Kluyveromyces lactis: one gene and its partner. The protein of the gene in region 2 interacts with the protein of the main gene of each other region in a pairwise test. Links are inferred from orthologs where the notes say so. Each region holds a gene or a part of one and is shown on either strand. Other genes may lie near its edges.

What was found. The genes of interacting proteins can lie anywhere in the genome.
Region 1: the proteins of REI1 (region 2) and JJJ1 interact in binary tests that used the Saccharomyces cerevisiae proteins (3 or more experiments, as listed by UniProt). The link is inferred for Kluyveromyces lactis from reciprocal best matches to the Saccharomyces cerevisiae genes REI1 and JJJ1.

Annotation. Positions count from the first base shown.
Region 1 is NC_006040.1:1,651,622-1,655,587, reverse strand, and holds JJJ1 (Jjj1p), read right to left. Parts: upstream 2,493-3,966; coding exon 630-2,492; downstream 1-629. Other genes in the region: URE2 (glutathione peroxidase), read right to left, coding at 1-42; CNM67 (Cnm67p), read right to left, coding at 2,740-3,966.
Region 2 is NC_006042.1:161,563-164,698, forward strand, and holds REI1 (Rei1p), read right to left. Parts: upstream 1,879-3,136; coding exon 664-1,878; downstream 1-663. Other genes in the region: mannose-ethanolamine phosphotransferase LAS21, read right to left, coding at 1-270; TSC10 (3-dehydrosphinganine reductase), read right to left, coding at 2,259-3,136. UniProt on the Saccharomyces cerevisiae protein: Pre-60S-associated factor involved in the cytoplasmic maturation of the 60S subunit. Involved in the dissociation and recycling of other late pre-60S factors like ARX1, TIF6 and ALB1 before newly synthesized large ribosomal subunits enter translation.

The DNA.
Region 1 (3,966 bases), on a different chromosome or scaffold from region 2:
GATGGTGTTCCCTGGTCCACCATTTTGCATATCTTGTTGCATTTCGCTTTCAAAATTGTATCCTCTTTCTTATGAATACTCTTGCGATGCCAAAAAGGAAGACGAAACTCTCTGTTCAAAAGTAAACTCTCTGCTAGCTCTGAAACGCTATACTAAATATGAAATAATTCGCTACAGCTGATTTTGTACCGTTATCAACCACACTAGATTTGTAATCGGTCAGATACTTCCCATATGAACGAATGAAAGCGTTCCGAAGTTTATCTATGTCAGCCAAATTTAACATTCAGCTCCATTATTTTTTCTTCTATTGTTTTTTTAGCTTTTCACCATTCTGGTCATTTTCATTTCCAATTCTTCGGTGGGTCTGTCTGCGTGTGCATCGGTATTGTAACGAGAACTTCCGACGAGAAAAAAAAAGGAAAACTTTTCTTAGATAAGTCACCAAGGAAAGGCGTTGTCGTTACGTACGTATCCGGGTAAGAAAGTCTCAGCTAGAGCGAAGTACTGCTAACTCCAGTGGATGGACGCTCTGAGCATACGTCTAACGCATGGCAAGCGAGGACCAGTTTATGTAATTGCTATCTACATAGAAAATATGGATAAGGTTGTGATATTGACATTCTTTTTTACTTACTGTTGTTCCTGATATTCCGCTTCTTGGATCCTTTCTTATTAGTCGACAGTGGGGCTGCATGGTTTGTGGAATCTAAGTGCTTGAACATTTTGTTTCGAGTATCAAACTTAACACCACATGTTGAGCATATGAAACTATCAATGTCTGCCGAAATTTTATTCTCGGCATTGTTCCCGGAAGTGGTGTTTGAATCTATTTGTGTTGTTGAGTTCGTCTGCTTTTTTCTGCTTTTATTTTTTTTACCATTGTTCTTCTTTTTAGGTTCCCATGAAGTATCTGCGTTGTCTTTCTTCAAGGATTCTAGAAGCATTGCTAAATCATCCTTGGGCTCTGTGTCTTTATTTTGATTTTCATTCTTGGAAACTTGAGTAGCATTATTTGTTTCTACCTTTTGTGATATATTTTCATCTACTTCATCGTCAATGATATATTCAACATCTGAAATCTGTTTATCATCTTCAGAAGTTTCTAACATAAAATTGTTTATATTCGACTCAGTTGAGTTCAATGCGTCAAGATCTTCGTCAATTTTTTTCAATTCCGCATCTATATCAGAAAATGAAAATGTGTCGCTTTCCTCGATTTCTTCAAATTCATCAGGGGAGGATAGATGTATGCTTCCACTAGTTTCATTATCTGAATAGGTTTCTGATGCTGACTTGAATTCATCCACATCAGATATGTTGTCTAGCCCAAGTGCGATACTCTCCTGTTTCATTTCCCATTGTAGTTGACGCAGCAGTTTCCTGTGCAGTTTTGTATTGGTATGATTCTCTAGTTGTTTCTCGGACTTAAAATTCTTGTTACAGATAAAACATTCATAGATTAGAACATCCTCAAGGTCATTATTGATATGATGCTCGCCATCCGTTGGCGCTTTCTTTTGATCTTTGGATAGGTAATATTCGTCAATCTCCTGTAATCGGTTGTGATCAATAGTTTGCCAGTCTTGCAAAGCAAAATCTGCCTGTTTTTTTGACATTTCTACGTCTTTGTCCTTGCTTATTTGGCTTTTCAAGGCATTTTGGAGTCTTAACTTCTTTTCTTCTTCTTGCTTTCTCGCTCCTTCTTTCATTCTTTTGTCAAATTTCTTGATGAAAGTGACGAATCTCTTTACAGTCTTATTATATTCACTGCGAGCTTGAGTTCTAAGCTTCTCATTCCTCTTATTAATTTCCCTTTTCGTCCTCCTATCGTAGTTCCTTGAATACATGTATTCATCCTTCCAACTAAAAGATTTAACGGTACTAAAATTGCCCCATTTCTTGTAGAATACTTTTACTTCCTGATAACTTGTACCCGAATAGCCAAAAGTTGGCAGAAGTAAATTTGATTCCTTGTATTTTTCCATAGAATTAACATATCCGATGGAAACAATATCGGCATCCACAGTATCATCGACAACATCTTTGAACGCTGCCATTCCAAGTTTTCGTCCATTTCTTACCTCATCGCCTGCTAATTTTGCGAATATTTTACCACCAATCTGATATAACCCTGCTGGAGAATCATCGATTCGACTGTACATTCCACCGTCAAAGAATTTCAATAGTTCTTCAGTTGTTACTCCTGTCACTGAGCTATCCACAACGTTAGAGCCATCAGAATCGTAAGCATCATCTATTGAATCATTTAAGATTTGGTCCTTGTGTGCATCGTACCACGCTCTTTCTTGGGCATCTGATAATACTTCGTATGCAGCTCTTATTTGGGCAAATACTTCTGTAGCCTCTTCTATATTGTTTCTGTTCTTATCAGGATGGTACAATAATGCTTTTTTACGGTACGCTCGTTTTAGATCGGTATCGGTTGCATCTGATTTGACATCAAGAAGGTCATAATAACATGTCTTCATCTCTATTAGCTTTGGAATCTGACTATTACGAATTGCGCTATTGAATCGTTGATGTGGTTCTTATACTCTGTATTGTTTAAATGCTTTTTCATGAAGTCTTCGCGTATCTATCTTACAGAATTTCCCGTTGTATTGTTCAATGAAAGTGAAAAATAATTAAGTAAATGATAATAATATAGAAAATGTGAAGTGTCAAATTTTACCATGACAAAATGCTAAAAATGAAGTTTGAAAACATTGAAACTAACTACACAAGTAACTTTTCGCTAACTGACTTGTATAAATCTTTTAAACACTGTTCTAACGGATGCTGTATTTCTTTTGCATTCCTATGGGTCCAATAGTTCTCAAGAGCCTTTTTAGTAAACGTCTTGAAATCGATTTCCTGGTGGAATAGCAAGTTATGCACTTTGTTCGCAAAATGGAATAACATAGTTTTTTCATAACGCAACATAATGTTTACTAACGGAAGTTTAGAGGACAACTTGGAGTAGGATATATCAAGGATTGCAACAATATTTTTGATTGTATTTTGACACTCGACAAGATTTAGGTTATCAATCGTATCCAATTCTAAGTTTTCATAAGATTCCTTATTCATGTGTGTATGTATTTTCATTAGTGTATCTGGTGTAATTTTGTCAGCCGCGTTTCCTTTTACCTTTTCATATGATTTTCGTATTTTTGATAGAGAACTCTCCAAATGTGAAATGGTGGATTTCATATTGGCCGAGAGTTCCTTTTCTTTCTGAAGCGAAGCTGATTCAGTCTTCAATTTCATTAGAATTGTTGCTACTTCATCATTGACAACATTCATCTTTTCCAATAATTTTAGGTTTTGTTCAGTTAGATCTTTGAAAGCATTTTCCTTTGCAGTTATTTCGGAGGAGCAAATTTGAGATTTCAAAGAAGTTACTTCCGAAGTCAATTGATCACGTAAGGATATAAGTTCCTCTCTTGACTGTTGAACATCAGTTACTTTGTCCAAGAGTTCAGTAATTTTTGAATTCTTATCCCCTACTTCTTTTTCCAAATATGATATACGGCTTGACTTTTCTTCCAAAGTTGGTTTTAAATCTCTCTCCACCAAGTTTTTCAATGACGTAAATGATTCTTCCTCGTTCTCAGTCTTGTATCCAATTATATGTTGAGACTTGAGCCACTTTTCGCAAGTTTCTTGTGATTTTTTTCTACCAATCTGGGATATTAGAAACTCACCAACCTTGACCTTGAATAGAGTGAAGTTTGCGATATATTGGAGTAAAACAGAGTTCTCATTATTTGCTGTGGCTAATTTGGATTTCAAATCCGAAACCTCCGCTTCAACTGTTAGTTTTGATTCTAGCTTACTGTTTAGTTGTTCCACTAGAGTTTTCGATTCCAAAAGTTGTAAAGACAATTGTTCCTGCTCAGCATCAGCGCTTTTCAATTTAGCCGTGAGATCATTTATTGTGCTATCTCTAGACTTCACAAC
Region 2 (3,136 bases):
GTAGCCCCAGGCCTCGCCTGAGTTCAATAGTCCATGTAAAAATTCGAAGTCTGAAGAATCTTTCTGGAACAAGAAATCACTCCGCAGAGCATCAATTACAACCAACACTAGTTTCTTGAACACGGGTTTAGAGGCCAGTTGTACCTCCGGATTCACAATGAATTTAGAATCATTCTTCAAAACAACCTTTTGCGGAAAGAATCCTCCACAGAAGAGAAATACAGCAACCAATTGCAAAGTGGCCAGCACATAGTATAATTTTCTACCCATGATGGATTCAGCTGTGTGATTCAATTCACCTTGTCACTACTAACCAGTTTGTTAGAACAACTCAACGCTATTCCCATCCAACGCTGAAATGTATTGATGTTTACGTTACGTCTTTAGAGATTTTTCATGTTGAGAGAGATGAAAGAAAGGTAATTGAAGGAATTTTAGAAGAACAGTAACAAAACAAACAAGTGAATGAATAGGTGTCCGATGTAGTGCGGAATAATCATATTTCATATATACATAGCAATAATAAAAGGAAATGACCGAATATTTAATACGGAGTATAGAGGTAGATTTGTTAAGGATAATGCAATGATCTATATATCTAAATACTAAAGTAAAACCGTAAACCCAAGTGCATATGCAAAAATGTTCTTCATCACAGTGAATCTACTGTAACAATTGGTCTCTGTAATGAGGTTGGTTATTAACGAACTTGGCAGCTCTTTTATCGTCTCTTTTCTTGTCTTTGACTTCTGTTTGCCAAGTAGTCTTTTGTACTTGTTGTTGTTGTCTATCGAAAATGGTAGCGAAGTGTCTGGTGTCTGCAGCAACGATAGTACCTTGGCCCTCACTAAGTTCACGCTCAGGTTTAAGATTTTGTCTGTAATACCGTTGTAAGGTTCTGTGACCAACCTTCACACCAGTAGGTAGATGTAATTCGACACCGTCGTTGTATAGTATATGTTCAGGTAATTCTTCTTCTTCTTCATCATCTTCCTTTTTATCATTCTCAATATCACCGTCGTCATCTTCATCAACATCCACCCACTGGGATTCATCCTCGTTGACGGCTTTATCTAACTCTTCATAGGTACTCGAAAAATCATAAAACTCTGATATTTCCAACTTTTCAGCTTCCGTTTCGTATGGAATACGGCAATGCTTTTTCGATAGCATATGAGCTCTGACCGCTTCTAAGGACCTACCTTGGTAAGAACAGCAGAAACACATATTACCCAAACCAATCTTTTCCGAAAAGTATTTGAAAAGACCACTTTTATCAACTAAATATTTCTGTTCTGGAATATAGAAACCATGGTCTCTGAACATATGATCCAAATTTTCTTCAAAAGTTTTATACTTCTTACCGGTAAATAGACACTCAGTTTCTGGAATTTCAACTCTGTTATGAAGCTTTTCAGCCATTAACTTCTCAGCAAGTTGATCGGGGGTCATTTCTTCTTCTGGAATCTCTTCTGCTTTGGATTTGGCAACTTCGTCCTTCTGTTCTGCTTCTACTTGCACCTCAGGATCATCTGATGCTTTATTAACAGGAGTACTATCTTGCATGTTCTTCAACATAGACTCCTTAGCGAGCTGCAATAGTTGCTGCTTCTTGGCTAGTAACTTCTCCTTTTCTAACCTACGCATCTCCTTCTTCGTCATCTGTTTAACTTTATCCTTCTTATGCTTGTTCTCTTCTTCTTCCTTCTCTACACGAGCATTAGCAACCTTTTCACTAAAAGTAGCTTCATCTATGGATGGCAAACCAGCGACTCTTCTCTTCAAATTGTATCTGTGCCAGTCCGACTTCATGTGCTCTCTTTGGCCAACCGCAGTGTCAAACACAACACCGCAAGTGTTACAAGTATATCCAGCCATATCTTTGTCCTTTACCTTAGTTCGTGTAGGTTTATTTCTCCCGCTCCGTCGATACTAAACAAAGCAAACTAATATTTAATAATGTTGCTCCAAGAAGTACAAAAATAACAAGGCTGTTAATTACTGTTTCTCATCACTAGCCACCTGAACCTATTCGATGAGATGAGATGAGATGAGCTTCTATAAAATTTTCAAACATTCACGCACTAAAAAAAAAAGAAAGATTCCGGCGATGACTATGGGTAAACTGTCCCCAATAGGACGCCAATGATGTAAATAAAGACTACTCGATTCGATCCACTGGCTTTGTTCTATGTGAGTCGTTTGGGAATATATTTCATACTTAGATATCTAGCTCTCTCAGGGTATATAGTAACACACTACTTAGTATCTTTATTCCTTTTCCATTGATAGATTTGGAATTTGCAAATCAACATGTAGATAGGCACGATGGTAATGTTCAACAAGGCACCTAGGATCCATGAAAACACGAACATGAATTGGCTGGTGCTATGTTTGTTTAAACCTTGATCGCACGCCATCAATAGCCAACCAATAGAATCTGTGGTAATATCATCAAGCCCCCATTTCAATGACGAGATGATCTTGTCACGACATTGGGCAGCGGTCACTGGATTACTGGGTCCCTCAATTTCTTTTGTAATTGCAGGTTTAGTTATATTTTCTAGATCAAAGCCCTCACTTTGGAAATTACCTGGGTACACACAGGTGATTCTTGTACTTGAATGTTCCTGTCTCAAGATTGCAACCAAAGATCTTATACTCTGTTTCAAAGGAGCATACTGAGCGTATCCAATGAAAGGAAAGAACGCTACCTCGGAGGAAAAGAACAGAAGATGGGGCACATCATGCTTTAAAGAAACATGGGCCAAATTCACGGCGGTGGAATAATTTGTTGTGATACCGTTTTGTAATTCTTCCGGTGTCAAATCTAAGAACAGTTTTGGGATTGACCCCCCAGCACACATGTACACCTGTGATGGAACCAATTCACTCTTGACCAGTAGCTTGAACATCAATGCTACTTTGTCGTATGATGACGTATCACAGCTGTGATATATCAATTTTGTTTCATTTCTATTGGTATCGTTGACATATCGGTCCAAAGAAACACCATCAACGCCAATTCTCTCACAAGCCTTTACCAGCTTGCTCTGAGACCTGGACACAATGATAACCTTATTAGTATTCGAACCTGGTCCATCATCGTCTTGCACAAACCGTTTCGCAAAAGATT